4 linked regions of the Tamandua tetradactyla genome follow. The protein of the gene in region 4 purifies or fractionates together with the protein of the main gene of each other region. This does not show direct contact. Links are inferred from orthologs where the notes say so. Each region holds a gene or a part of one and is shown on either strand. Other genes may lie near its edges.

Region 1 (7,599 bases), on a different chromosome or scaffold from region 4:
GGAGAAAGTGAGGGAGAAAGACAACTTGGAGAAAGTAAAGAAAGTTTTTCAAGAAAGAGGTCAGGCAAAACTGAGCTATGATAGCAGAAACCAAAATGTGGTTGGAGAAAGAAGGTCAGAAGGGAACTTTCTGTGGTGGTGGAAATGTTCTATATCTTGTTTTGGGTGGTAGTTATTAGGGTATACACAAGAGTCAAAATTTGCCTAACTGAACAGTTATTATCTGTACGCTTTATCATGTGGAATTATAACTGTTTGAAAAAAAGAAGAGAAGTGGCAACTGGGTCAAAAACTCCTCATTAGTTCCTCAACTTCCTCTCCCATACCTTCAGATTTCTCTCCTTATACCTATCCTCTTACCTTATTTTCTCCAGCATCAAAGGAAGAAAGTGTCCATTCCCCAGTCTAAGGCTAACACTTCTACCTGGACTCTCAAACCCACCTTTCCAATCTTTTCCAGGACTAAAACCTCGCCCTATTAACAGTCCTTCCCTTCCCTCGATGTTCAAACTCTCCTGGATACTGGCTTCATCCTTTCACCCTGAAACAGCTCAAAACTTTCTCTTTTCTTCTCCTGCTCTTCAGCTTACTAACTTCCCAACAAGTAGTCAGAGAGGACCTTCTCTGTTCCTCATTTTTCTTTCCTTCTTCTACCAATTACAGTCAAGATTCTGACCCATCTACTAACGAAACTGCTCTAGCAAATGTCACCAATGTTTCCAATATTCCAATTCCAATTCCAAAGAGCTCCCCTCAGCCTTTCCACAGCAGTCGGCCATGTTGACCACTCCCTTCTTGTAACGCTCCTGTGACAACATTCTCTTCTAATGCCTTTCCTACCTCTGAGAATGCCTTCTTGGTCTTCCTTTCCTCTGCCTACTCTGCAAATGTTGGTATCCTCAAAGTTCTATCCCTGGACACTTCTTTTCTCACTCCCAAGTGTGCTGGGTGTGAAGGATTTGAAAGACCACTTGTTTAACATCCCCATTTCAAGATCTCCCACCTCCCTCCCCAGTTACAAATGTAAGCACTTTCAAGGACAGTGACCCTGACTACCTTATTTACCACAGTGCCAGGAGCATAAAAGATCTGCAATAGATAATGAATGAATAAATGAATAAGTGAGTAAATATCACAGCTACAGTGACCCACAAGGTATGAATATGTCTCCTCCAACTGTTTACCAGGCAGCAACACCTTAAGGGCTCAGGAACTACTCAAACTCAATACACCCAAAATTAGATCCCCCAACTTACCCCTTCCTTTCAGCCTGCCCTATTCCCAATCTCAGCGAACAACATCATTTATACAGTCATTACCAATTAAAACCCCAGGGAGTCCTACCTCTCAGATGCTTCTTGATCAGTTGGAGAACAAGTTCCACTGTGTCCACCTCCTTTTAAATTTCCTCACATTCATCCTCTGCTACTGCAGCTGAGGCCCTCATAGTCTTTTACCTGGACTTCTGTGATATTTTCTTTTAAGTCTACTTTAAAGTTGCCATTTTCCCTCCATTCCATGACCAACACTCAAGCTAGAGTGATCTTTTCCATGTTCACAGCTGATCCTGTCATTCATCACCTTACCATTCTCCATTGCCTCCACACCATCCTCATGAAGTCTAAACTCTACAGCATAACGTCCTCTGTGGTCTCACCCCTGGATACTTCTCCAGCCTCACATCTTTCTCCCAAACCACATGAAACTACATGATGGGCTTTTTAATACTTTCAGGCTTTTGCTCATGGCGTCCCTTTTATTCAGAATGCCTCTCCCACCACAACACTTCATCCCCATCTGTTAAGACTCAGTTCGAGCATCACATTTTACCCATCAGTTGCAGTTGTAACAAAGACTTTCCCTTCTATCACAGAATCCACTATATGTTATTCCACATGTGTACATGTCTCCCCCTTTAACCCATAAACTCCTGGAAGACAGGGAGGGAGATTTTGAATTTGTACAATCCCTGGGAATGGTATGCTGCCTGGCCCACAGTAATCCCTCAATAAAATCTGTTCAATAAACAAGTGATTACATGACTCCAAAGCTGTGTTATTTCTCCTACCATGTTGCTATGATAGCATACAGAGTACAGAAAAATATATTAGGTATGGTTAACAGGCAAAATAGCACCTATGTAGGAAAACTTACAGAGAAAGCACTGAAGTAAATAAACATATCAATTTCCCAACTGAAAGGAAAAGTTATTTTCATTTGTTATTAAAGAAATTCTCTTATAAAGTACCGTCCCGATTCTTGTTAGTTCAACACTAAAATTATAGCTTTACTTCATAAAGCAAAAAATGCAGACAACACCCAGCAATAAAAAATGAGTAAAATGGCATTCTCTGAGTCCCTTAAAACCATTCTAGATACCATTGCTTTGGAAAAGGCAATAAAGTTACTCATCACATTCATTCAATCTAATTCATTCATTCATTCAATAAAAACATTTTACAGGTCAAGAACGGAGGACACACAACAAATAAGACAAACATATTCTAGTGGAAAGAAAAACTAAATGTTAGTCTCCAGAATGGAGAAGACACTATCGTAGCAAGTACTAAGGGGATCTAACATCTGGAAGAATCAAGGAAGGCCTCTGGAGGGAGTCATATGATAGATATCTAGGATTTAATCTACAAAGTGCAATGGTGGAAAAAGCGGCTGGAAAAGTAAGCAGCGGACAGACTGAGGAAAGCCTTGTAATCCTTCATAAAGACTTTAAATTTTGCTCTAAGATCAATGGGTAGAAATTGAAGAAGTTAAACCAAGGGAGAGACGTGACCATATTTGTGTGTTTAAACTGATGACTCTGGCTACAGAGCAGAAGACAGATTGGAGTGGGACAAGTCAAGATAGAAAGTAAAAGATTCAGACGATTTGGCTTTCGCACCACAGCTAGAGGACCTCATGAAAGTGGACTAAGCTCCCTGGGTCCTACTGTTTTTCTCGATATGTCTGAAAACGAAGAAGCAATAGGACCCCACAGGGTGGATACGAGAGCTAATCTTCTCGGACACAAACGAACAGGAGCTTGGAAGGGGTCCAACCCGAGCGCCATCGGAGGGCCTCTCGGCTTCCGTAACCACTGACAGCTCTCTGGGCTCACCCCTTCCACACGCTAGCGGCGGCCAACCAAGGAAAAGTATAAGCACGCGCAATGCTTTGAGCATGCGCGATGCCACCCGCCCGCCTCCCGTCCATAGCGAGAACTCTCCGGGCAACGCCTCCTTGAGCGTGTCCCGGGCCCTTCTGCAACCGCGTGCCGGGCGCTCACCTCTACGGTCGGGATCGGAGCCACCAGCTGCTCTGGGGTTAGGTTACCGAACTCTTCCCCTAGGACGTCCATGCTGCTAACGGCGAAAGAAATTCAGCCAGAACCTTCCAGCCCGCCTTCGCTGCACCAAATAAACTGCAGCACGCTTGGAGAACGGTGCGCGGAGGCCTAAACCGTCCCCGCTTGGACTGCTAGTCGGAGGTGCGACAGAAAGGTTCCGCCTGCATGTTGCCCGAACCTGCGGTGGAACCGGATGTGATTGCGGCGGAGCCGGAGAACTGCCCCCTCTGGTGTTGCTGGGAAGTCTAGGCCGGGTAGTCCTAACCCCCGGCCGTCGTGGGTTCTTTCCGTATTAGAGGTCAACAAAACATATTGGTTGTGTTTTTTAAAATAACTTCAGGGAAAGTGTAAACAGATGATTTGCGCAACTTGAGCCACCGAAGCAAATAATGCATTTAATTTATTCCAGGAGTAGTCACATTGTATAGTATGGGAAAATCGGACATTTCCCGACATCAACCGGGGGATTGGTTAAATGAATTAGAGTACGCGCGTGTCATGGGAGTGAGGAGGAGTTCACCACACTGGAGAGTAGAGCGTAACACGACAGTCATTAAGGCAGCGTTATGTACCAGACAGAAGACCCAGAAATAAATACATGTACAGGGCGAAATTTTGTATGAAAAGATGGTATTTTAATTCCGTAGGGGAAAAGATGACTTATTCAATAAATGACGGTGAACAGCTGATTAGTATTTTAAAAAATGTGCTTCTCGATAAATCTTGTACGGGTTAAATACTTAAATGTTAAAAAACCTCAGAAGAAAATGTTAAGTGAATATATTCATAACCTAGAGGTGATGAAAAGTCTTTAAAGGATGGCAACACAATCAAAAGGCACAAAGTAAAAATACTGGTAGATTTGATAATATTAAATAATTCTAAACGTTGTTTTATGATTCCATGAAAAATGAAATTTTTCCATATAGAATTTACAAAATTACCATAAATAGAGTTTTTTAAAAGTACTGGCTGGCGAGTCCCTTCCTTGGGCACGCCCACATTAACCTCTCTAACGTGTACTCTCTTTTTAATAAACTTCTCTTTTAATAAACTTTACTACTTATGCCTAAAAAAAAAAGTACTGGTTGGCAGAAGGCAATGTGTTGGTAGTGGTAATTGACAAGTGCATGCGAATCAACAGGAAAAAAAAACAACAGAAAAATCTAGGCAAAAGATATCAACAAGCAAAACATCATAAATATAAAAATATGTATAACTTCAGAATTAAAATGGAAACTAAATTCTTTTTTACCCATCGAATTGGTATGGATAAGATTTATAATATTAAATGTGGCCCAGAGTATGGACAAACAGGCACTCTCTTACTTTGTTGGTGAGAGAGCACATTGGTACAATATTTGTCATTTCTAGAGGGTAAAAATACATATATTTCCACTGACTCAGCAATTTAGTTGTTTAGATATTTAGTCCAAGGAGATTACTGAAAAGATACACAAATGTGGACAAACAAGGTGAACAGATTGCTCACTGAAGCATTATTTATAAAAACAAAATATTAGAAACAACCTAAATGTCCTCTGATGAATAATTGTAATTATGGGACCCCTAATTATATATTTGTAATTTGATGGATAAGCATCTATCAAATAATTATGGAAATATCTGTGTTTAATTTAGAAAGATGGCATCATCTACTGATAAGTGGGGATGGAAAAGAACAATGTGCTACATGAATAATATCCCAATTATATGTTACATGTATTTATAATGGGTAGAGTTATGAGAAAGGACTTTTAACTGGTTATCTCTGGAGGATGTGATTTACTGTTCTTCATTCTTTCCAGTAATGTTTAAATGTTTTACAATAAGCATGTGTAATTTTTATGATTGAAATAGTTTCTCTTTGGAGCTAAAAATCAGAAACATTGACATTTAAAAGAAAAAATGTAACATTTTAATACATGGAAAAGTTCTCAGTATAACGATAAGTGAGAAAAAGATGAATTAAAAATTGTAGATACACATGGTAAACTCAATTTGGTAATTTTTGATAGTTTGGATGTTCAACGCATATTTATTGATTTGTACTAAGACTCTGTATTAGTTAGGGTTCTCTAGAGAAACAGAATCAACAGGGAACACTCGCAAATGTAAAATTTATGAAAGTGTCTCACGTGACCGTGGGAACGCAGAGTCCAAAATCCACAGAGTAGGCTGTGAAGCCGACAATTCCTATGGAGGGTCTGGACAAACCTCACAGGAGAGGCTCACCAGCCGAAACAGGAAGAGCCTGTCTCTTCTGAATCTTCCTTATAATGCTTTCAGTGATTAGATTAAGCATCACTCATTGCAGAAGACATGCCCCTTTGGCTGATTACAAATGGAATCAGCTGTGGATGCAGCTGACATGATCATGATTTAATTCTGTGAAATGGCCTCATCACAACAGACAAGCCAGCACTTGCCCAACCACCACTTGGCCAAGTTGACAGATGAACCTGACCATGACAGACTCTTTGGTATGCAAGTATGTAAAAATATTAATTTGGTTATCTGCTACTGGTGAGACCAGAGATGATTTTATTCCTTTATTATTTTGTTTATTTTATTTATTTTTTTATTGTATAGTATAACATATATATAAAACAAATAAAAAAGCAATAGTTTTCAAAGCACTCGTCAACAAGTAGTTACCGGACAGATCCCAGAGTGTTTCATATGCTACCATACCATCCTCTCCAATTTTTACTTCTAGCTGCTCCAGAATATAGGAGGCAAGAAGACTTAAAAAAAATTTTTGTCACCATAATCGACTTTTCTTATTTTCTGTGAAAAATAATATATATACAAAACAGCAATAATTTCAAAGCACAGCATCACAATTAGTTGTAGAAAATATTTCAGAATTTGACATGGGTTACAAGTCCAAATTTTAGGTTTTTACTTTTAACTGCTCTAAGATACTGGAGACTAAAAGAGATCAATTTAGTGATTCAGTCATCATATTCATTTTGTTAAATCCTATCTTCTCTGTGTAACTCCACCATCACCTTCAATCTTTCTATCCCGTTCTTTAGGGGTGTTTGGGCTATAGCCATTCTAACATTTTCATGTCGGAAGGGTCTGTCACTAATACAGAGTAGGGAGATGGAACTATCTGATGTTCAGGAGAGGCTGAGCCATCTAGGTTTCATGACTTACCTGGTCCAGAGACTCATCTGGAAGTTGTAGGTTTCTGGAAAGTTACTCTAATGCCTGGAACCCTTGTGGAATCTTATATACTGCTCTAGGTGTTTTTTAGGATTGGCTGGAATGGTCCTTGTTGGGGTTTGGCAGGTTATGATAGGTAGCAATGTCTAACTGAAGCTTGCGTAAGAACAACCTCCAGAGTAGCCTCTTGATTCTATGTGAATTCTCTGCCGCTGATACTTTATTAGTTACTGTGCCGATTTGAAAGGATGTATGTATCCTAGAAAAGCCATGTTTTAATCCTAATCCTATTTTGTAAAGGCAGCCATTTCTTTTAATCCCTATTCAGCACTATGTATGCCTGAAACTTTAATTAGATCATCTCCCTGTAGATGTGACTCAATCAAGAGTGGTTATTGAACTGGATTAGGTGGAGAAGTGTCTTCACCCATTCCGGCTGGGTCTTGATTAGTTTACTGGAATACTATAAAAGAGGAAATCTTAGGGAGAAAGCCAGGAGATTCTGAGAGACCAGAGAATGGCATAGCCATGGGAAGTAGAGTCCACCAGTCGGTGATCTTTGGAAATGAAGAAGGAAAATGCCTCCTGGGGGAGTTTCATGAAAGGAAGCCAGGAGAGAAAGCTAGCAGATGACGCCATGTTCACCATGTGCCTTTCCAGATGAGAGAGAAAAACCCTGACCATGTTCCCATCTGCCTTCTCACTTGACAGAGAAACCCTGAACTTCGTCACCCTTCTTGAACCAAGGTATCTTCCTGGATGCCTTAGATTGGACATTTCTATAGACTGGTTTAATTGGTACATTCTCTCAGCCTTAGAACTGTAAACTAGCAACTTATTAAATTCCCCCTTTTAAAGCCATTCCATTTCTGGTATATTGAATTCCAGCAGCTAGCAAACTAGAACACTCACCTTGACTCTTGTCTGTCCCCACATTATTTACCTCTGCTGTTGCTGTGGTAGTGCTGATGTTTTCCTTTTAAACATAGCCCATAGCATGCAATAGTAGTTTTCCCCCTGTACCCTGGACTTAAACACTCTTTGTACATGAATCATACCTTTGAAGAAGTTCTTGAAAGAAC
Region 2 (8,391 bases), on a different chromosome or scaffold from region 4:
CTTCATGACTATCAAACATGGGAATAAGGTAAGGAAGACACTTTGGGAGGAAAAAACCAAGGAGGTGGTAAAACCACTAACTTAGGAAACATGAGCATTCAAGCATTTTTGGCTGAGAATATCTTTATCAGCTCCTGCAACTACTTTTCCTTTAGCTTAGTTTAAGGGGAAGCTGTTTTTGTGTACTAAAAAATGGTTCTAGAAAAAAAGTCACAGTAAACTCTCCAACTCTAATTATGTTTTATTATGAAAAATTGGCTACATATCAAGAAATTTAACACTCCTCCGTTACTTAAAACCTTTTTAATTACTTGGCTATAAAATACTAAATACTACTTTTCAACATGAATTGTCCATTCCAGTCATGTTGCTCTATTTCCAAAACACATTCATTCCTAACTACAAGTAGTTTTCACACAAAGCCCAAATTCCCTCCTTAAAAAAAAAAATTCTAACAAATATTGTTCCTATGCTAGATCTATTTCCAATGGTACTTACATATTTGTTTTAAATTTATGTAGTGGGGGCACTGGATTTTTGGCTCGCATTTCTAGCACTTCCACGTAATGGGGCTTCTTCTGAGTCCTGCTATGAAGATCTGTCAAGTTAGTAGTGCTTGTGTTTTCTTCAGAGCCGTGTTCACCTTGGTCTGTAATTGTGATCTTCTGTAATCTATCAATAAACAGGCTGTCAGAGCTGCTGGAAATATCTTCTGCTTGACCTGAAACACAACGCTGAGGAAGATGCTCACTAGCTATAGATGAGAAAGTTGCACCGATTCTGACGCTCGACCCTGGGCTCTCGTTCACTGTGCACTTTGCCTCTGTGGTCTCTTCATCGCTTTTGTTAGTGAGATCTGCAATTCCCTGTTTTTGTGAGGTTGTTTTAGATGACTTGATGTTATCCACAGAGGAACAGTTAGGAATTAGTGATGAAGTATCAAGTATCTGATCAGAATTCTGGGTCTTATCTGTGTCCACATCAACTGCTACAACCACAGTTTGCCTTGGTTTACAGCCTAATCTAACGGGATGAAACAGTTCGCTTTTTCCTCTAAATTCTTCACGTTCGGCAAGGGCTGCTTTCAGTCTGGCAGCACAGTCTAAGATCTTTTTACCTTTGTCGGGCAATTTGCAAATGAATTTTCTGTCAAATGGAAAAGAACAAGTATACATCACTGGCATGTTTTTAACCCCAAGATGGGAATTTAAAAAACAGAGCATTATCCTCAAAAGGAGAAAAACTGGCTTTTAAACAAAAAATTTGATTTCCAACTGCCCCACACAAGAATGAAACAAATTAAGACATTACCCAAATACTCTGCTGGAAGAATAGAGAATAATTTTTGTCTCATCTAGCTAGAACTGCAGAAAAGTAATTTAAGTATACAATAACAACACAAAGCATTCCCATATTGTAACAGTTTTTAAAATGTGGTCCCCAAGGCCATCTTGTCTGCAAGGTCAAAACTATTTTCATAAAAATACTAAGACAGGAGTGCAAGGGCAGTTCAGTGATAGAATTCTCACCTGCCATGCAGGAGACCTGGGTTCAATTCCCGGTCCATGCACTTTCCAAAAAACAAACAAACAAAAATTCAACAAATGGTGCTACAATAACAGGATACTCACATGGAAAAATAATGAAATGTGATCCCACCACAGAGCATACAAAAAAAAATACTAAGACATTTTTTTACTATTTCACTCCCATGCTCGCATATGGGTAGGGCTTCCCAAAGGTTTTGTGATGTGATGACTAGTGGAACGTATGCTTGTATATTTTTGTGTTTTAAAGATTTCTCTGTTGTAATTCCTAATAAACATAAATACTGATAGATATAAGAGATATAAGAGCTCTTCGGGATTGTCAATTATGTTTAAGAGGAAAAAGTTAAGAGAATTATACATTAAAAAGTCCACTCTCACAAAATCAAAACACCTATCTATTAGGAAGGTGCCAAATGATTATTTTTTCCTTTTTGCTGAGTGGAGTCTTTTTTCCATTTCCCTTTCTCTTTAGCTATATAATACACGGGAAGGAAAAGTTACATCTCAGGCCCTCTTTTCTTTCTCCACATTCATTCCCAGTTTCAACTATTAACACTTCTCTGCAGTTGAGACTCCCCTATTTTTCCAGTCTCCTCTCTAGAGCCCCACGACCACTTCTCCAGCTTTTAACTAGACATAATTAACTCAATGTCTGTTCAGCCCTTCCCTCAACTCATTCTAAGCAAATTCAACCTGGACCTTTTCTCCTCCCCCAATTTTCCTAGTTTTGGCAATGGTTTACCTGGAAACTTCCAGCATGGACGCTGGAAACAACATATTCAAATTATCCCATGCTTGATGTAATTTTCTCCATCTCATGGCCACCGTTCTCATTCGCTTTCTTAAGAAATCCCCTTGTTGGGAACCTATCTGAAAATATCCTCCTATTGCCTTAAACCTTTTATTCCTTCAAACCATCCTCCACTTAGCTGCTAAATGAAGTTTCCTTAAAAAAAAAATTACTTATTATATTACTACCCTGGTTGAGTGAGAGTTCAAACTTTCTCGGCTTAATAAACCATTCTTCATATCCCACTTCTCCCACTTCCTAGAGTTCGTGAAAGAAAGATTTTGAGATGAAATTCACAAGATATTGAGCCTTTACTGTACTGGGCACCAGTTGTGGGGAGAGGGGGGACACAGAAAGAGTTTATAGCACAGACCTTTCCTTCAAGGATTCGCCACAACACCTGGATAAAGAAAACCAACAAGGTGGTAATGAACAGCTCAAACGATAAAACACAAGTCCAGTACCCTACTCATCCGGCAGTGTGACTAGTGCGTGACTGGCCGTAATGCGGTGCAGTTTTGCGGCTGCAGACTGTCCCCTCGCCTGTGGGGCAGAAATGAATCTGAGACAAGGTCACCTTCCCGGGAAGGGAACCCCGGGGTGGGGAGGAGCTTCCCAGGGAGCCGGGACCAAAAGAGCCTGGCAGTGACCCGGCAGGACCCAAGCTTACTCGTTGCGCAAAAGTCTCTCCTGGCGCTTCAACATCTCCCGCAGCTCCGCCAAACTCCGCTGCCCCAAGTCCTCGAGAGCCTGGGGCTCGAAGCCGCGGGGCAGCGAGGACATTCTGCTGGGGCTGAGGCTGGCGAGGCGGCGGGCAGTCGGCTTCCTCACCAGACCTCGCCGCTAGCGCCAGACCCGCAGCCGGCGGCGACTCCGGGGCACGAGCGGGAGACGCCATCTTCCCGGAAGAACGAGTCTCCTTCGAGCCGAATCGAGCTTTATTGAAACGCCGGAAACAAACACAGACAAGGAGAAGGGGGCGCCGGGAGGAGCGGAAAGAGGCGGAAGTTGCGAGTGACGTCAGCGCCTCGGCCGAGTTCCCTTTTCGCGCCGTTTGCTGGCTTGTCTTTTCGTCGCCTATTCATTTGTTTACATCTAAAGTATTTATTGAGTGCCACCGTTTTTCATGTTTATGCAAAAAATTTATGGAATGCAACTGTGACCTCACCAAACGCTATATATTAGTGGGCACATAGCCACGGCCACTATTTTCATTTCGATGTGGCGAATGGCAGCAAGTACTAACAGAGAGCAAGACAATTTAATAGTAAATTCGAGATGGACATCAGGGGAAGTATCTCTAAGAAGTAAAATTTGGAACCTGAAAGTTGAGTTAGCCATTGATGGGGTTGGGTTTTCAAGGGCCTGGTCTATGATGTGGATCCTCTTAGCTCAAAGCTTAGTGAAGTTGTAGCATTGGGAAGTTATTTAGAGACCATCATCCCTTCTTAATAGGGCTCTGTGCGTTGGGGACCGAACATTCTTTATTTGTGGCAATGTCCCAGGCATTGCAGGATATTTGGTATCCCTAGCTTCTGGGCACTAGTTGTCATGGCACTCCCAATTCTTTGAACTAATCCAAAGCGCCGCCAAAAACCTTAGCAAAGGCCGCTAAGAGTGGTGATGGGGTGCAAGGGGAGGGGGTTGCGAGACTGTACAAAGCAATTCCCTTTTTTGCCAATATAAAAACAGAGACAACAATTATGGTAACTATTTCTAAGGCACAATACCAGGGACAGCACCGGAATTCAAACACAAATGCCCAATTGCTCTTTCTACCACACCAACTGGAGAATCCCCTTCTTCACTTTAGGCCTATTTCCAAGTGTATAACATCGGTGAAAAAAATTTTTCCCCAATTGTTGAAAAGATGGCAAGTGTAATAAGCCTCACACCCTGCTCTCACCTTTCCTTATAGTTTAGCTATCAGAGCTGTCTCCCAAAAGAAAGGGTAAGAAGTATGCAAGAGTCACAGCAGATTGTCTAAACTACACCTCCACACATAGACCTCATTTTTGATATGGAAAATTGAGGTTTCTTCAAACCCCCGTAAGGTGTTATATAAACCCAACCTCCAGCAACTCCTTTTCAATCAGACAAAAGCTCTAGCTGAATTTTGGAGTTATTCAAAGAATCACATTTTCAGCCATTTTGTATCTCCCCAGTTTAGTTCATTCTGATCAGATTAAATAGTGTACCAAAATAAATTTTCTTAGTATAATCCTTGCTTTCAAGAACTTCAGAAACCTGTTCTGGTCCTAGCATGATAAGAAATACTTGATCAGGAGGTTGTCCCCAGGCAAGTTCCCCCAAGATCTCCTCATCCTTCCCCTAGGTTCAAGCTGACCCTTTATTCCCCCATAGCAGTGAATCCCCATCCACTGATCCTTGGTCCCCAGGGTCCATAAAGCAAAGATGCCTTTCTTTCAAGCCTCAGAACTTTACCCTTTGCTGTTTCCCTCTTGTGGAAGGCTGTCCCTTTTCTCTTTGCCAATTACAAATCTTGCCTAAAGCTTCATCTCCTCCCTGACTCTTGGATTATTCCAAACCAACTTGCTCTTTCTTTTAACACAATTATAGTGCTTAAATCCAGAACCTCACTGAACAGCTTATTATGCCTCTCTAATAATTGTGCTATACCTGGTAAGATATCTCCCCTTCCTAACTAAGTTGTAAAGTCCTTTCTGTTGGGGAACTATGCTAGGACTTTTTTGTCTCCCTTAACTCATATAGCAGGTATTAATTGGTGGAATCTCCTTCTCTCATCATTTTTCTCTCTCCTTTCTCCCTGATATTCCTCTTTCTCTTAATAAAATGTCCCTTTAGTGTATGTAAGAATATAAGGATTAACTATAATTACTATAAATATTTTCAGTGGTATGGGATAGAATCTCTTACATAACAAGATGTCATAATACAAATCTGAATTCCTAACTGTTCTAGTTTGCTAGCTGCCAGAAAGTAATATACCAGAAACGGAATGACTTTTAAAAAGGGGAATTTAATAAGTTGCTAGTTTACAGTTCTAAGGCCAAGAAAATGTCCCAATTAAAGCAAGTCTATAGAAATGTCCAGTCTAAGGCATCCAGGGAAAGATACCTTGATTCAAGAAGTGTGATGAAGTTCAGGGTTTCTCTCTCAAGTGGAAGAGCACATGGCGAACATGGCATCATCTGCTAGCTTTCTCTCCTAGGTTCCTGTTTCATGAAGCTCCCCGGGAGGCATTTTCCTTCTTCATCTCCAAAGGCCGCTGGCTGGTGGGCTCCCTGCTTCTTGTGTCGTTCTGCTCTCTCCGAACCTCCCTGCTTTCTCTCTTGTCGTTCTGCTTTATAGGATTCCAGTAAACTAATAAAGACCCCCCCAAATGGAAGAGACAGGTCTCCACCTAATCCAGTTTAACAACCACTCTTGATTGAGTCACAGCTCCAGGGAGATGATCTAACTACATATTCAAACATACAGTAATGAATAGGGATTAGAAGAAATGGCTGCCTTTACAGAATGGAATTAGGATTAAAACATGGCTTTTCTAGTGTACATACATCCTTTCAAACCAGCACACTAACAATACCCATGTACAAACCATCTAATTCTCTTGGATTGATGTTTCGTGTTAGGAAAACATCATCCTGAAACAAAAGCATTTGGACTTCAAAATGAAAATAGGCAAAGTATTCTTTTATAATACATCAAACAAAAACAATGAAAACTAAATATTTAGATTACAGACTTTAACATTAGTGTCTGGGAAAAAGAATACAAAATGGGAAAATTTAACAATGGAGAAATGAACAAAGAGAGGGACAAGTGCCATGGTTTTTACCTGTTTCCAGGCAAACATTTGAGAGGAAATGGTGCCCACATACCACAGACAACTAATCTCTGCTAAAGAATTCCAACTGCATATCACAATAATTTTGATAAAGAGCCCATCTGTTATAAAATGGAATCTGGATGGGGGTTTTGATTTTCATTTGTTTTTGTTTTTTAATGCTCTTTTTAAAAAAAATCCAAGTCACCTTCCCAGTGGAACTTAATCTCTTGAGTGTTAATTGCTTTCACAGTAACGAATAAAACTGGGTGTATTAGAAAGGAAGAAAAACAATTAAAATGAAGAAAAAGAAAGGAAGGGAAAAGCTCATTAGTTGTGCGAAGGGCTACCAGGATCACTTAGCCATCCTCTTGCCACCAAATGGCACAAGCACTTTGTTCGAACATGATAAAAACTCCCCCGGTAATGGTTTGCATTTGTCCTTACAGAGTTAAAGATAAAAAAAAGAGCCAATCGTGAAATTGATAAAAGTTCTCCAGAATCTTCAGCTGCTCTTCTCTGTCTCCTCCCATTGGTTGTTAGTTTGGAGCACAAGTGGCCTTAAAACTGGCCACAGCACACGTGGTGTTGAGCAAAATGGCAGCAAGACTATCTCCCATCCCACATGTTCTTCTTATATTTAACTTTAAAACTCCTCTTGTCAAGAAATGCGGTCCATCTCTCCTACCCTTGAATCTGGATGCACTTGTAACAATAGCAAAAGTGATTTTCTAGGCTATGTGATAAAAGGCAATTCAGCTTCAAGTGGGCCACAGTGGCTCAGCAGGCAGAGTTCTTGCTTGCCATGCCAGAGACCTGGGTTCGATTCCCCGTGCCTGCCCATGCAAAAAACAAGCAAAACAAACAAACAAACAAAAAACGCAATTCAGCTTCTGCCTATTGCTCTTGGAATCCAGCTACGGATTGTGAAGGAGGCTGAGTTTGGGTAGGTGTTTTGGCTGCCAGCCCCATTTGAGGTTCTAAGCCACAGACAGCGTCCACTACTAGGCATGTGGGAGAGCTAGCCTTTAGGTGATTCCATTTTGGAAAACAGTTTGCTGCTTTCTTCAAAAATTAAATATACATCTACCATATAACCTAACCATTCTTCTGCTAGGTATTTGCACAAGAGAAATGAATGCCTATGTTTGTACAAAGACTTGTATTTATATTCGTAGCACCTTTATTTGTAATAGCCCCAAAGTGGAAACAGCCCAAATGTCTAGCAACAGGTGGATAGATACACAGTTTGTGGTATAGCCATAAAATTGAATACTATGGTACGTACAACAAAATCAGTGAATCTCAAAATAATTATACTAAGTGAAAGGAACCCCCCCCCAAAAAAGTGCACACGGTATGGTTTCATTTGTATAAAATTCTAAAAAGTTCAACCTAATCTATAATGACAGAAAGTAAATCACCAATTGCCTGAAGCTGTGGGGTGGCACAGAGTGGCTGGAGGGAGGTTATCAAAGAGCAGGATTAAATTTGGGGGAGTGTTGGATATGTTCATTATCTTTATTGTGGTGATGGTTATATGGGTGTTCTCACTTGATAAGTGAAATTATTACATTGTGCATCCGAAGTGTGTACGTATCCCCCGGATGTCCAAAAGGCTTCTCAGAATCAGTGTGTCCAAACTGAACTGATTTATATTTCCCTTCCCCACTCAACTCTTCAATGGTACCCAAGCCAGAAACTAGGCATTCATACCTGGCTATTCCTTTTCCCTCACCTGTCCCTAGCCCCTGGCCCCACACATACAGCTGGGCACCAAATCCTACAACCTAAATACTATTGAAATCTAAACACTTTCTTCTATCTACACTCTCCCTCCTGTCACCCGTTTGAACACCCCCTACCCCCATATACCCTTCACCCAAACCCTTGATTGAAACTTGCAATAGATCTCCTTACTTGTAGTCAAATCAGCCCTTTTTCTCTAAACTGCTGTCAGACAGCTTTAAAAGAAAATCTAATTTTCCTTCCTTCATTTGCATTATGAACATGGTAAACTTTATGGTTAGGTTACTTGTTTTATTTCTGTTGTAGCTGCCAGATTACTGCCTTCTTGCCTAAAGGTCTAGGTATTCTGGCTTGGGCATTTACGAAAAATTACAGAACTTGTACCAAACCTGTTTGATGGTATCAATCATGTTTTGAAATGGGTGTGGAGAAATTTTTCTCCATGAATAACTGACATGATCCATGAGGGAAGGCAAGGAAGGAGTGGGAAC
Region 3 (7,886 bases), on a different chromosome or scaffold from region 4:
GGGTGTCTGGCAGCTGGAGGAACAGCAGTTCTTCCTCTCTGGTGAGACTCAACTCCCTGAGCAGCTCTGCCACAGATACATCCTTTGGGAGGCCTGGAGTCTTTCTTGGTGCTCTGGAAGGAGCCTTCATCTTGGCCTCCTCCTCCTCATCTCGTGGCTCCTCTTTCACTGCCCAGGGTAATACAAATAGAAGGGCTATCATGCAACTACCTTCTCTGTCATCCCGTAACCATCCCTTCCCCTACATCTGCTCCACTGTCACTCAGACAGGAAGATGGAGTGAGACTCTAGTTATGGAGGACAAGAGACAGAACATTCAAGAGTTATGTGGCTTATTTAAAAAGGGATTTAGGGTCCACTGATCCATGTCAGCACTTAAAGCCTCAGAGAATGAGAATTTAGCATTTTATTTCAGGTTATACATTTTATAACTGGGATGGAAGAGGACCTACTTATTAATAACAGTTTGTTAGGTTCTATACAGACTTCTGAGGGGTGGCCAAAGAAAAGGCAATGAGAAGTTAACTGACACAGAATACCTTTCATAACAGGGACATCCACTTCCATGTCCTCTTCCTTGGGACCAGCCAGCAAAGGTTTAACATCTGGTTCTTCATTCTCTTCCTTAAAAAGCCACCCTGAGTGAGCCAGAGGCAACTGCACAGGCATGTTTCGAGTGTCATTCCTCAGCCCAGGGTCATCGATGAACTGCCAAAGAGTCAGAGAGGTCACAAAGAGCTAGACCAGTAGTTATACTGGAATCCACTCGAGTTCTTTTCTAATCAGAGTCCTGCTGCTCAACAGGACATCAAAAAGCTCATCTTCTGAATATGCAACTATGTGATGATATTGTGAATTACTGATTATATATGTAGAACAGAATGATCATATGTTAAGAATGTTTGTTTCTTATCATACTTCAAAAAAAATTTTTTTTAATTAATAAAAAAATTAACAACAACAACAATGCTCATCTTCTTCTAACTCTTGCTCCCCAAAAGTTCTTTTCCACAGCCACACAGAAGCCCTTTCTCCCCAGTTCCCTGGTACCTACGTCATCCTTTTCCAGCATGCGCAGGATTTGTTTTGTTTCTTCATCCGTCTCCCTCTTCTCTTTTTTGATGTTGATGATATGAGAAGGCCCCATGTCTGACACATCCACTGTTTTATCCCAATTCCCTGTGGGAAATCACCCAATTCACCAAGGATAAAGAAGATGCCAGCAACAAGGAAAACTAACTGGAAGCAAGGAAATAACATTGTCTTTGTCCTTCTCTTAAGCATTCTGAACTGAAATCCTCCATCCATTCCTTCCTCCCAGAGCCCCAACAGTCTTATACCTTTTTTCTTCATCATTTCAGCTGGGCCCTGCTCAAAGATGGAGTGGGACTGGATCACTTCTGGACGACCCCGGCCCCGTCCATGCCCTTCTCGCTGTCGGTCTCTATCTCTTTCACGCTTCTCCTTTTTGACAGTTACTTCTTCCTTTGGCCTGGAAAAGGGAGTGGATTAAAAGAAACCACTCACTCACCCTGCCTCAGAGAACTGGCCTAACTCTCTCATACCATTCCACTCTAACTGAGCAGCGCGTTTATAAGCCAACAACTTCATTATAAGGTGGAGAACCCAATCCTCAGTCTCAGTTTTTCACTTGCTCAATAGGGCAGGGTCCTGTTTTCTTTACTTTAATTTTTGTTAACAGTATATATCAGAATCATAACTCAAAACCTGAACTATAGAAGCTACCCCCAAATGTAGATTTTTTTGCACTGACTGAAAACAGGAAGGTTATAATGGTAAGGAACTTAAGGGATAACTTGATACATCTTTGTCTAAACTGGTGGTTCTTATCTCTGGCTATATATGAGAATCACTCCATTCCACTGCTAACAAGTTAAATCACGATTTTTAGGGATAGAGTCTTATGCATCATTTTTTTAAAGGCTTGTACATAAGAATCACCTGGGAGCCAGGGTTGAAACTCCTAAGTTTAAGTTCTTGAGCCACATATCTAGTTGTATCCCAGAATCCCCAAATTCAGAGAATGTAAATCAGGGGTAGTTATTCAGAAAGCCTAGCTACTTACTCTTCCTTAATCTTCCGACTGATGATGTTTGGGGTGAAGGTTTTCTGAAAGTAAAATACAGGAGTCACTGATTTGATAAGTTCTGACCCCAAAGTACAGACGAAAAGAAAAATTACCAAAGGGCATCTTTTAAGGACCAAGATCACCATGGTTCTCTTACACATATTGGAAACTGTTGTCAGGGATTTAGAGATGGGAACATACCCGAAAAGAAGGAACATCAGCAGTGGATTTACCTAGATAAATGGGATAAGTGGTATTCCAGTGGATGACTGGATACCAAAGTCATTTTTAACTAGAAGCCTCAGCTTGTGTCCCCTAAAAGGAGTGCCTCCTGGGCTTCTAAAAGCGAAGAAACTTATCTAGTCTCACCTCTTGTCTTCAAACAGCTTTAGAGACCAGTCAGTTTCATAGGAAAACAGCTCTAGCAGCAAGGTTCAAGATAGTTAGAATTCTACCACCAGAATTCTCCAAGACAAAATTAAGTCCTTCACAACAGGCTATTTTATGCTTCTGTCATTTTTTTCCCTCTTCAGGGCTACATTTAATTTACATCAATAAGCACTAACATAATGGCCAAGGATACAAAGCATCTAATGTCATGTTTGATTCATTATGCTTGCTTTTCATGGGCTTCTCAAAGGTGTCCGAAATATACAGTAAAAGAAACACGCTCAAATTGCCTCTGAACGTCTTGGACTAATGAGGATCCTCTGCCCTCCAGCCACTCTGGGAATTCTCTCAACACCTTGTTCCAAACAACTAGACTTGAAGGTACAACAGGCTTCCCAGCACTGAAAGACGAATAAGCAGAAGTCTAGGCACAAGATTCTTACGGGGTCCACACGAGCCCTGGCACACAGTAGGCCCTATATGAATACTATTTGAATCTCAGGGGGCTTGTATTCAAGATAGTTGAGTTTCTCTGCAAAAAGGTGATGTCGGGTACCTTCTTGACTCCCCCGAGGGTGAGGTCCCTGGAACGGATGGAGGGAAGACGGCCCGGGGTAAGGGGGGGCGCCGGCCGCCTCCCGATAAGCCCCCGGGCCCCAGAGAGAAGAGGTCGGGGACCTCCCGGGGTGCTGGGCTCGCCCGCGGCGTTTCCTTCCGACATGTTGCCTGGGAGAGAAGGGGGAAAAGGGGGGAAAGGAGCAACGAGGTCACTCGACGGGTTGGACACGCGAACCGTGGGCGGAACCCCACCCACGTGGCTCCCGCCCCCCAGTCAGTGCGTCCCTGCGGACGCGCATCAGCTCCTCCCCCTCCCACGTGGCGAGACTCCCTGGACCACCCGGCTCAAGGCTTTGGCTCTCGATCTTAGCCTGTCGCGACTCGCCGTCTCCCTAGGGGGTCTGGCCAGGCCTGAGTCAGGGACGCACCCTAGAGCACCCGAACTGCGACTCCACACCACGCGCGTCACTTCACCTCCGCCGCCGCCCGTAGCGGGCCCTCAGTTTCCACGCTGGGCGGAAGTCTGCGTGGCAGCGCCCGGGCGCCGCCATCTTGCCGCGGGGCGGAAGTGAGGTTCGGTGGGCGGGGCCGGGCCACAGTATTTATCAAGCGGCGCCTCGCGCAGCTCTGCCTTCTCTTCCCGGTTCTTCCCGGAGTCGGGAAAAGCTGGGTTGAGAGGGCGAAAAAGGATGAGGGGTTGGGTCTAGGTTCCGCCACGGTGCAGCGCTCGGGGGTCCGGCCTGGGGCGGGGAGTGGAGGCGCCGAGCTCAGGGTCTGGGGCGCTGCTCAGGGTCTGGGGCGCTGGCGGTCGCCAGAGCACAATGTGGGAATCAGCCGCCTCGGAGCAGTTGGGGTCGCGCTTCGGGGTGGGGCGAGGGGCGCGGGGCAGAGAGCGAGACCTGGACTCGAAGTCGGGGGAACCCAGGCCAGAACCCAGGCCCGCGCCGGGCCGTAGCAGTCTCCATTGCGGCCGCGGGCTCTGGATGGTGACCTTGGAGTGGTCACTGCACCTCTAGGCAGTGGCCTCGCCCTCGCTCCGACGACCCTTCTCTGAACTCCTGGTAGGGTCGTGGGGTGGGGCTGTGCGAGGTTGGCGAAGCAGCTGCCGCGGGCAAGCCAGGTGCCCAGTAGCACCCAGGCTGGGCTTAGGGCTGCGTGCGCCTGTGCTTGCATGGAACCTGAAAGTTTGCTCTGCAGGAGGGGCGAATGTAAAGAACTTTTACTGTGACTCTAGCGCTTGTGGTTTAACGTAAAAATAAATAATGTGCTCCCTCACACACACACCGTATAAAAAACCATGTAACAACGTTACAGAAAGTTTGGGGAAAGGAAAACATTTCTATTAGAATTCCACCTAGAATACTGCTATCAAAATGTGTGTAATATATTTCACGCTTCCGTCATATTGTCCCACAATTCTGTATCCTCCTTTTTCAAATAACATTTCTTTGTTGTTGTATCCAAATGATTTAGATATTCTCCGTGGAGTGGATATATCATTATGTCCGATTTCCCTATTATTTGAACATTCGATTGTTTCACTCTTTGTTGTAAATAATGCTTCTTTGAACATTGGGTGCATTCAACATTCTTCTTTGGAATTGTTTCCTTAGCACAAATCTCCAGACCTGGGATTAGTGGCCTAAAGAGTACTTGCAGTTTTTTAGAAGTCATCTTTTTATTTTGAGATAATGGTAGACGCATGTAGTCTTAAGAAATAGTGCTGAGAGATCCCAAGTATTGCTTACTTAGTTTGCCTCAATAGTAGCGTCTTATAAAACAATAGTGCAATATCACACTCAGAATATTGACGCTGATATAGTCTAGACACAAAACATTTCCATCACCGCAAGTATCTCTTGTTTCGCCCTTTCATAGCCACATCCATTTCACCACCATCCCCCTCCCTGGTAACTATTAATCTGCTCTCCATTTCTATAATTTGGTTATTTCAAGAATATTATGTAACTATTCTATATAACTTCTTAAAATTGCTTTTTCCACTCAACAAAATTCCCTGGAGATTTTCCAATTTGTTGCATGCAACAGTAGTTCCTTATTATTTATTGCTGAGTATCCATAGTATGGCTGTATCAGTTTCTTTCATCATTCACCCTTTGAAGGATATCTGGCTATAGCAAATAAAACTGCTGTGAACAGGTCGTTGCCAGTTTGGGGCGTTAGAAATAAAGCTGCTGTGTATGGGTTTTTGTGTAAACATAACGTTTTTCATTTCTCTGGGATAAATGCCTAAGAGTATAATTAATGGGTCATATGGTAGTTGCATGCTCAATTTTATAAAAAACTGCCAAACTGTTTTCCACAGTGGCTATACTATTATGAACATGAGCATTTTGTGGTTCTTCATCCATGTTATAAATTTCTTTCAAAATGTTTGTGCATCACCACTAAAAAATGTGCGTATACATATACATAATTTACCACATCATTTTGAGTTAAAATTTTTAAACTTCATTTTTACCAATTTAACAATATATTAATATTATATTACTATTTTGTTATGTTGGTTTCTATCCAGATTTTTTCAATATCTTTTCTCCATATTAGTTGTATGATAACCAAACCAAACGAAAACCCTTCCTGTTCCCTACAGAGCTACACATAACAGCCCTCGGTTTCCTTTTTAAAAAAATTTATTATATTTTATTTATTTATTTATTTGTTTGTTTGTTTGTTTTAGCCCTGAGTCTCTGACTGGAGTACCAGATGAAATTGCTCCAGTTTGTTTCTCTGGACTTTGAGGTTCACCAAGCTTTTAGCAGCTCTTAAATTTTTGTTTTGTTTTGTTTTTACAAAGATGCTTATTCACTGATCAGTTACAGGTTTATGATATGAGAATAAACCAGTTGCTGGTAAGAAGCACAATTTATCTGATTGTGAGGCTTCAAATAAAATGTGTTTGAGTCCCTAAGAAGCAAACACTGTGTGGTCCTGTGAACTGTATTCCCAACAACATTTCAAGAACTCTGAGTCTTGTTTCATTTTTTATTGTATTATCCCTTAATGTCAGCTGATGGAGTAAAATAAAAGTATAGTTCAACCTGAAAAAAAAAAAAAGATGCTTATTCATTGTAGGAAATTCTGAAAATTTTAAAAGGCAGAGAATTAAAATCTGCTAATGTTATACCATCACCTGTTTTGTATACTTGAAGCTGTTTTTCCTATGCATGTATTTTTTTAGGTTGAGTTATTTCATATATGGTTCTATAATTTGCCTTCACCATTCTGCTTTCTTTCTTTACTTAATCCCAGAGCTCTCTGTTTTCTCTGAAGTGTTCATTCTTTTATCTAGCCTCAAGCTTGTAAATTATTAGCCACAGAAGCCTATGTAACATATGAGTCTAGCAGATATTTTTATTATCAACATTTTATTGCATTTTATTTACATATATCTTATAGGAAAAGACAATAACCATTCTTTTCTGATAGATAATGAAACTAGTAGTCGAACTCTTGGGAACATTTCATAATTTTCTGGGTCTAAATACAGGTTTTAGAAGGTCTAAACAGTTTCTGTCAAAAGCCAATTCCTGTGAATTCGTGATGGGCATTGAAAATACTAAATGAATAAGCAACTGCTTTGAATATGTATTAGTAGAATAAAGGGAATATATAGTAGGAGAGCAGTACCTAAGATTGGGCTATTACATGTTCTCGACATGAAATTTACCCTAATTTGATTCATTTTGGAGGCCATTCCTTCTCATTCTCCTTTCTTGGTTCCTCAACTCTTCAGCCTCTTAATATGGGAAAATTTTAGGATTCAGTTCTTGGAACTCCTCCCTTATTTTCCTGGCTTCAAACCGTGTACGTTTACAAATAGCTCTTAAATATGTATCTCCAGCCTAGAACTCTCTGAACTCCAGAGGTATATCTCTGCCTATTTCAGCCTTAACTAAGATATTTGCTAGGGTTCTTAAATTTATGTTTAAGTTCAAACTTTTGATCTTCCTCCTCAAACTTCCCAAAGTTTTTGCATCTTAGGAAAATGGCCACACCATCCTTCTGGTTGTTCAGGTTAAAAAAAAAAAATTCCTCTTTTTTTAACTCCTCTATTTCTCTCAGGCCTAACATTTTTTTATGGCAGCTCTACCTTCCAAATATATCCAGAATCTTACTACGTCTCACCCTTCAGTGACACACTACCCTGCTCGAGGCCACCATCACATCTTTTGTTGAGATTATTACAGTAGCTTCCAACTGGCCTCCCTGCTTCCACCTGGGCCCTCGGTCTAGTCTCAATAGAGCATAAGTAATATATTTCACAGCAGATCATGTCTCAACTTCCCAGTGGCCTCCCATTTCAGAGTGAACACCAGGGCTTTCTGCAAAGCCCTGCATAAGGTGCCCCTCCATCTGTCATCTCCCTGGCCACCATTCCTGCCACACTCCCCTCACTGACTGCTCCTGCCACGCTGGCCTCCTTGCTGTTTCTGGAAGAGATCAGGCGTGTTCCTCCTCCAGGGCTTCTGCACCTGCTACCTGGAATGCTCTAGAGCCCACCACATACTTCTGCACAGCTCACTTTCTCCCTTCATCCAGGTCTATTACTCCAAAGTCACTTTTGACATTTTGTCTTCAAAGTTGTAACTCCCACTCCCCCATGACATCACCTGTCTTATTTACTGACCGACTTTTCTCCATAGCATTTATTACCACCTGATAAATACAGACTTTTAAAATTCATTAACTCTGGTAGTAACTAGATGTACAAAGTTAAAAATGTTTTTTTTGCATGAGGAAGAACAAAGGAATGTCAGTGTTGCAGGGTGTTGAAAGTAGATGGTAGTTCGTATTTTAAAACTTTAACTTATGTGTGAGACAAAAG
Region 4 (7,674 bases):
AGAAAGGGATGTGTCTTACTCAGTTTTATAAACTAAGGGACTATCACAGCATCTGGTACATAATTATTTGATCACTGTGCAGGTTTGAAGCTATTATGTACCCCAGAAAAAACATCTCTTTTAATCCTCATTTAATATTGCTGGGGGGACCTTTCTGATTGTTTCCATGGAGATATGACCCGCCCAATTGTGGGTGGTAACTTTTTGATTAGATGGTTTCCATGGAGATGCGTCTCCAACCATTCAAGGTGGGATTGCTTGCTGGAGCCCTTTAAGAGGGAACCACTATGGAAAGAGCTGAGAGAGCGCACACAGCCAGACATCTTTGGAGATGCAGAAGAACACCCTCAGGGAATCCTTATAAAATGAGAAGCCAGGAGAGAAGGCTAGCAGATGTCACCATGTTCCTTTCCAGCTGACAGAGGTGTTCTGGACCCAATCAGCCTTTCTTCAATGAAAGTATCCGTTCTAGTTTGCTAGCTGCCGGAATGTGATATACCAGAAATGGAACAGCTTTTAAAAGGGGGAATTAAATAAGTTGCAAGTTTACAGTTCTAAAGCTGCAAAAATGTCCAAATTAAAGCAAGGCTATAGAAATGTCCAATCTAAGGCATCCAGGGAAAGATACCTTAGTTCAAGAAGGCTGATGACGTTCAGGGTTTCTCTCTCAACTGGAAAGCCACATGGGAAACATGGTGATGTCGGCTAGCTTTCTCTCCAAGCTTCTTGTTTCATCAAACTTCCCCAGGGGCATTTTCCTTCTTCATCTCCACAGGTCTCTGGGTGTGTGGGCTCTCCTGGTTCTCATGGCTCTGTTCTTTACTCTCTCCAAAATATTTCCTCTTTTAAAGGTTTCCAGTAAACTAATCAAGACCCACCTGGAATGGATGGAATCACATCTCTCTCTAATAAAAAGTTAATACCCATAATTGGGTAACCCACACCTCTGTGGATATAATCTAATCAGGTTTCCAAACTATAGTACTGAACAGAGATTAAAAGCAACGGCTGCGGGCAGGCCACAGTGGCTCAGCAGGTAAGAGCGCTCTCCTGCCATGCCTGAGGACCTGGGTTCGATTCCCGGTGCCTACCCATCTAAAAAAAAAAAAAAGCAACGGCTGCCATCACGGGATGGATCAGGATTAAAACATGGCTTTCCTAGGATACATAATCCTTTCAAACTAGCACAGTATTTTTCCCTGGATGCTTTATTTTGGACATTTTCACGGCCTTAGAACTCTAAACTTGCAACTTAAATTATCTTTTTAAAAAGCCACTCCGTTTCTAGTACACTGCATACTGGCAGCTTAAAAACTAAAACAACCATTATTTTTAATTGACTGACTTAATTAAAAAATACGTTTGAATATAAGGTCCTCAAGGGCAGGTATATTTTGTATATATGTTTTGTTCCCCATGAAATCCCCAGGGTCTAGAACAATGCTTGGCACAAAGAACATGCCCAATGAGTATTTATGACAGTAAGCATCAAAAACTTGCTGTATGAAGGAATGAAGGATAGTACTGATCACAATCAGTCCAAAAATTAATCTGGAATATATGGTGGAATAGTAGCCCATGACAAACTCTGGGATCTATTCTGTAACTACTTGTTGAAGTGTGCTTTGAAAATTATTGCTTTTTTTCTTTCTTTGCTTTGTATATATAAAAATAAAAAAAAGTTTTATTTTTTACAATAAAATTTTTTTTAATTAATCTGTAATACAGAAATAATTTCTTTCATGCTTTCTCCTCAATGCCTTTATACATACTGTTACCTTTGCCCTTTCTATGCATCAGAGTGTATTTTAAATAACTAGTCACCTATGGGTCTTTCAAAATAGACTGCAGGCTCTGGGTAGACGCGAGACATATCTTAGTCACATGTATATTCCTTGTACCCACAATAGGACAATGGGTCAGAATCATATGCTTGTTAAATTAAAAACTGAAGCCATAAAACACCTCCACAGATTCTAGTGTTTCCCAAACTTCTGTTACTTGAGCTCTAGCATCACCTGTCTGCCATATTTGAGTGCCCCTAATATTAATATTTTCTTTACAAGAAAAAGTTTTATCTGTTGTAAATAGTAAGCTAATTATATTTTATCAAAACTTGAAGGTAACTGTAACATTAAATGCAACTTTAAAGTGCTTTTAATTCTAGCCAAATACAGCTGCCTGTCAAAGGCTGTGAGTCTAAATCTTGCTCTCTGAAGATTATAGAAATGTTCGAAATAACAGCACCTACCTCGTAAGGTTGCCGTGGGAAATAAACGAGTCATTTAGAGCAGTACTTCGGGCTGAGAGATCCAATAAATATTAGCAATTACTATGACTCCCTTTTCAAAACTAAACAATAAGGCACTGAAGTCCAGAAACAGAAGCTAGGTGCTCAGAATCTCAGGTTCCCCAATATACACCCGCCGCCCCCTCCCTCAGGACCCGAACACCCCACTACCCAGGAACCTCCGACTTTTCTCCCCTCCTCGCTCAAAATTCTCACCTTCCCGCTGCCTGCGGGGCCCATGACGAGCTGAGCATACCGAGGCATTTCAGGGCTCCAGGCTCCCAGGGACGCCGGCCACACAGAACTAAGATTCTGACCTATATGCTCCCTCCAGCCTTCGCGCGACGCCAGCTGAATTCCGGGAACACCACAAACCCGACCAATCACAATTCAAGTCCCTTGGGCGTTTACGGTTCTGCCACACCTCTCACTACGGAGAGTCCCGAGTGCCGAACTTCTTGTGAAGCGCTTCTTGAGGGAATCTCTGAGGGGCGGGGCCGCGGCGCTGGCGCTGGCGCGTGCGCACAAATAAGTGCCGAAATTCGGCGGTTTGGAGCCTGGTGACGGCTGGTTGCCTAAGTGATATAATGGATAACGCAAAACGCTCAGCTTAGCTGCGCCGGGCTGTGGTCCTTGGTTTGCGCACTGCTGTTTGGCCTATATACTGACACCCAATATTTGCGAATTTGCTGAGAGTCTGGAATACTGAGGCGGAGGGCACCTCCTATTTTAGGGAGCACGTGTGTTTCCTTTCTTGTGACGCATCCCTTCCACGAAAAATACAAACGAAAACGTGCAAACGCGCAATCAACTAAAGCCCTCCCGCCACCCCCCAGTTTAGCTCCAGGATTGTGGGTCTGCCCTCTTGGCGCTCCCGAAGCTACTCGGGCTGTGTCCGGGCCGCCTCGGAGGGGGTCTAGAAACCCGCGTCCGCCTCTTCGCCCCAGTACCTCCGCCGCCTGACGCACGCGTGCTGACGGGGAGAGGAGAGGGGAGAGCCGCTCCTCACACCGCTCGTGCCGGGGCTCCGGGAGGAGATGCCGGGCCAGGGTCCCGCGTCCGACTGGACCGAGTGCGGCTCCTCTGCACAGTCGCCCGCGGTGGCCGGGACCGAGGGTGGCGAAGGCGGGTAGGCTTGGGGTCCTGCGGGGCTGGGGGACGGCGGCCAGCCCGCGTCGCGACCCCCTGTCTAGTAGTGGGTGGGAGCTGGCTGCTCCGCGGAGGAACTGGGCCCCGGTGTACTGAAGTGAGCGGAGGGGAAACGTTTGTTGTGGTCGGGATGGGAAATATGGAGGCGCTCACGGTTTAGGGGAAGGGCTTCGGGGGAGGGTTTGGTGTACTGACTAAACGCGGGACTGCGACAGTCGCCTGCCTAGGTGCATCTTTCTGCCTCGAGGAGGCGCTGCGAAGCCCGTTGGAAACCTTGCCGTCTGGCCCCATCAGTATCTGCAGGCGAGGCCAGCGGGGAACCGGGTAGGGAGAAAACGTGCCCGGCTCTACGGAGGGGTTCCATGTCGATAAATCAGTTTCTTGTGTGTGGCATGGGCCACCATTCCTACAAATGGGGGCTCATAATCGCCGGTGAGCCTGATGGCAGTATTAGCATTTAGAGGCACCTTGCTCGTGAGATATTTTCTTCGCTCAGAAGTCTCCTTTTTAAATCCATTTCATTTTTAGCTGTTTTTGAACAATTATTTCCTGAATGGTGAAGACAAATAGCTACTGAAGTCACTGCTGCCGGCCTCTGCTCTAAAATACCTCCTCGTCTGCTCTCCCCATTATTCCCTAAAAGCGAGAGTTGTGGGGTATTCGCTGTCAGATGCAGCCCATAGTCATGGCATCATTGCTGTCTTTTTTTTTTTCTTTTCCTTTTTCCTGTTTCACCCTTAAAAAAAAACATTTTAATATTGTAGTTATTCATGTATATAACACAGTCTGCCATTTTAACCATTTTTAAGCGTACAATTCAGTGGCACTAATCATATTCACAATGGTGTGCAATCATCACTATCTGTCTCCAAAATTTTTTCAGCACCCCAAACAGAAGCACTGTACCCAATAAGCAAAAACTCTTCATTTCCCCTTCTTCCCATCTCCTGGTATGGTACCCTACCATCTTTTTTATATCTGGAGGTGGACGACTTCTTAAAGCTGGATGTGTTTCTTTTTTGTTCTTCACAGTGTTTAGCAAAGTGCTGGATCCTAGTGTATCAGGAGATCAATAAATTTTTGGTGAATGAATAAACTGTGGGAAGAGGGAAGAAGGGGTATTTCTGTTTCAACTTAATTTGAGAAAAGAAAAAAGAACTTGTATCAGTTCCAGCACTTAATTACGTAAAGACTAAGCATTTTCAATGCCCAAATTACTTTATTAAAGGGAAAGAGAGCAAGAAAATGTCTCATGGTTAGCACAGAAGCCTAAACCACTTTATCGAACTCATTGTACAAATTAGATTATAGGCTATAAAAGTAAAAACAAATCTGGTTTAAAGTAAATTCTTTGTAATATGGTTAAAAAAATCATATATCACACACTTTTCAAAAAAGCCTGGAGCTGTTAGGATTTAACAAGAATTACAAAAGAATATTTGTAAGACATTATGTTTGATGGAAACAGGAAAAGTGACAAGCATCTGCAATACTGTCCCTTTTGTCATTTTAAGTACTTTCTTTAAAGCTGTTAATTATTGTATATTTGCATTCTTTTTTAAAACAGATCAGCTGGACATTCTTTTTATCAGAATTCCAAAGGTACTGGTGAGTACTGCATACAGAATAGATACCTATAAATAACATGTTCAGAGAAGCCAGTTTACCTAATTACTTACACAATGGCGTCTTAAAAATAGATTATTTGCAGAATTGGTGAATTTAGGTCTTTTAAGATGTTTTGGAAGAACGCAGGAGGTTCTTTCCCTCCTGTTAATGTATCTCACATCAAGCATTTTTAAAAAGGTATTTGAAGATTAGCACTGAACCGAAAAAGAACTGTGTTTATACTTGAGGTTGGTTTAAAAGCACAGGGCACAGTCAGGGGTTTATACACAGATTAAAGGGAAAAATTCTGAATTTAAACAGCTTTAAAGCACATACAGTACTTCTCAATGTTATTTTCTTCTTACTTGAAGTAAAGGTTGGTGTTTTCAAAGTACTCACTTCTCTGCTGCAGTTAAGAGATTAAGATAGGCTACCAAAGTCCTCTCCCTAATTGCTTTTTTTGGGGGGTGGGATAGAAGTGGAATTTACTGACCTTAAGTATATATAAAAGTACAGTAGTTATAGTTTCCTACTTCACAGTCTTGCTGAATTAAAGTTAAAAATAGATAAAATACACAAAAATTAATACATTCTTTTGATGTGGAAGGAAATAGTTTGTCTATAGAAGAAATTTTAACAATTATTAGTTTATGAGGTAGACTTACTCAATTATATAAAAGCAAAAGCTCTAAACAAATATTCAAAATAAAAATGAAAAGGACCATGTAGGACCATGTTCATATAAAAACAACATACATATACGTCTAGAAGAAGCCATGAAAAACAATGTATCAAAGTGTTTTTAAATAGTTACTACAGAATGGTGAGATTAAAGGATTTTTATTATATTTTTTAGAACCAGTATACTTCACAAATCTACAACTGAAGTGTATTACTGTTTAATCAGGTGGATGGACGGGTGAAGGCCAGTACTCAACAAGTGCTTTATTTGTGTTCCTCTGTATTTGGACTTAAGGTCTCATCCTATTACAAATACTACAGTCAACTCCTGACAGGGGATCTAGATATTATTTGAAACTGATTTACCATCGCTAAAATTTGGCAGACTTCAAGACAATGAGCTAAACCCATTTTTAAACCCATTTTAAAGTAACAACTTAACTATCTACCCTGACAATAAACTACATTTCTGTAATAATGTAGGACAGTTTATCAAAATTAGCAACTTTAAAACATTTAAAATATTTTGACTTATACATTTACAGAAAAGTTGAGAAAATGGTACATAGAATTTCAAGATCCCTTTTATCTTTTCCCTCTGATTCTCCCGAATATTCACTATTATATATGTACATAAATGTTTATTCTGAAATGCTCAAGAGTAACTTGCAGACATGATGGATGCCCCTTTATTACTAAATATTAGAAATTGTATGTCTTTTTTTTAAAGGGATTATCTTACCTACATTTATGTATCTCACAAAATAATTATCAAAATCAGGAAATTTGAATGATGCTATTATCTAATCTACAGATTTAATTCAGATTTTGACTGTTGTTCCAATAATTCCTTGATAAGAAAAAAAAATCCAAGACGAAGCATGGCTTTCAGTTGTCAGGTTTCTTAGTTTCCTCAGTCTGGCATAGTTCCTGAGTCTTTCTCTGACAGTTTTGGAGAGGACAAGCCACTTCTTTTGTAGCATTTCCCTCAGTTGGGATTTGTGTGATGTTTTCACTTGGTGAGATTCAGATTATGCATTTTTAACAGGAATACCACAGAAATTAGGATGAGTTTGTCTTGGTTCATCCTATCAGGAGGGACATGCTGTCAATTAGTCCCATTATTGACAATGTTAATCTTGATAATTTGGTTCAGGCGATGTTTGCCAGGTTTCAGCACTGTAAAGTAACTATTTTACTGTTTGTAAAAGTATCTTGTGGGAATATACTTGTAACATAAATATATCCTGTAATTCCTCAAACCTTCCTTCATTAGTTTTGTCATCCATTTATGGCTCTTGACTGAATCAGTTATTATGATGGCTAGAAAATGGGGATTTTCTAATTCTATCACTCATTTTACAATTGGCAGTTGGTTTTTTATTATAAGGAAGAGCTTTCCTTTCATTGCCATTTACTTCTTCATACCTATATTTATTTATATATCAGTGTGGACTCATGGATTCTTACTTTTAGTTAATAGGTTACTATCCTTTACTATTATTATTTATTTTGATGTTCAAATCATAGATTTGGCCAGTAAGAGCCCTTTTAAGATGATTAATGTGCCCTTGCAATTTGTCCCACTTACTCTTTGAGCATTTTCTTACTTTTTGGCACGAAATATTGTAGATTTATCTTGTACTTTCTTTGCCTCAGCTATAGAGTCGGCTATTTCTTCAACAAGCCTGTGGTAGGCAAGGATCGTCCCACAAAGATGTCCACACTCTGATCCCCGCAAATATGTTACATGGCAAAAGAGATCTTGCAGATGTAAAGTTACCGACCTTAAAATAAAGAGATTACCCTCGATTATCTGAGTGGCCCAGTGTAATTACATGAGCTCTGAAAAGTAAAGAACTTTTCTGGCAGAAGTCAGAGAATGAGGAAGTTAGAAAGATTCGAAGCATAAGGACTAAACACTCTGATGTTGGCTTGAAGATGAG

Evidence for each region.
Region 1: the proteins of GPN3 (region 4) and POLR3B purify together in Homo sapiens (affinity purification with mass spectrometry; 3 studies listed by BioGRID and IntAct, counting the BioPlex papers as one, with this or other methods). This does not show direct contact. The link is inferred for Tamandua tetradactyla from reciprocal best matches to the Homo sapiens genes GPN3 and POLR3B.
Region 2: the proteins of GPN3 (region 4) and POLR2M purify together in Homo sapiens (affinity purification with mass spectrometry; 3 studies listed by BioGRID and IntAct, counting the BioPlex papers as one, with this or other methods). This does not show direct contact. The link is inferred for Tamandua tetradactyla from reciprocal best matches to the Homo sapiens genes GPN3 and POLR2M.
Region 3: the proteins of GPN3 (region 4) and POLR3D purify together in Homo sapiens (affinity purification with mass spectrometry; 3 studies listed by BioGRID and IntAct, counting the BioPlex papers as one, with this or other methods). This does not show direct contact. The link is inferred for Tamandua tetradactyla from reciprocal best matches to the Homo sapiens genes GPN3 and POLR3D.

Annotation. Positions count from the first base shown.
Region 1 is NC_135333.1:22,886,430-22,894,028, reverse strand, and holds the start of POLR3B (DNA-directed RNA polymerase III subunit RPC2), read right to left. Parts: upstream 3,578-7,599; 5' UTR 3,356-3,577; coding exon 3,284-3,355; intron 3,102-3,283; exon of another isoform or gene 2,900-3,101; intron 2,080-2,899; exon of another isoform or gene 1,345-2,079; intron 1-1,344. UniProt on the Homo sapiens protein: Catalytic core component of RNA polymerase III (Pol III), a DNA-dependent RNA polymerase which synthesizes small non-coding RNAs using the four ribonucleoside triphosphates as substrates.
Region 2 is NC_135340.1:73,288,337-73,296,727, reverse strand, and holds the start of POLR2M (protein GRINL1A), read right to left. Parts: upstream 3,258-8,391; 5' UTR 3,124-3,257; coding exon 3,011-3,123; intron 2,673-3,010; exon of another isoform or gene 2,385-2,672; coding exon of another isoform or gene 2,293-2,384; intron 1,147-2,292; coding exon 499-1,146; intron 1-498.
Region 3 is NC_135329.1:22,877,704-22,885,589, reverse strand, and holds the start of POLR3D (DNA-directed RNA polymerase III subunit RPC4), read right to left. Parts: upstream 3,593-7,886; 5' UTR 3,466-3,592; intron 3,206-3,465; 5' UTR 3,201-3,205; coding exon 3,036-3,200; intron 2,131-3,035; coding exon 2,087-2,130; intron 1,493-2,086; coding exon 1,341-1,492; intron 1,180-1,340; coding exon 1,055-1,179; intron 709-1,054; coding exon 540-708; intron 169-539; coding exon 1-168. UniProt on the Homo sapiens protein: DNA-dependent RNA polymerase catalyzes the transcription of DNA into RNA using the four ribonucleoside triphosphates as substrates.
Region 4 is NC_135331.1:11,200,299-11,207,972, forward strand, and holds the start of GPN3 (GPN-loop GTPase 3), read right to left. Parts: upstream 3,091-7,674; 5' UTR 2,555-3,090; coding exon 2,507-2,554; intron 1-2,506. Other genes in the region: protein FAM216A, read left to right, coding at 3,328-3,419, 5,007-5,047. UniProt on the Homo sapiens protein: Small GTPase required for proper localization of RNA polymerase II (RNAPII). May act at an RNAP assembly step prior to nuclear import.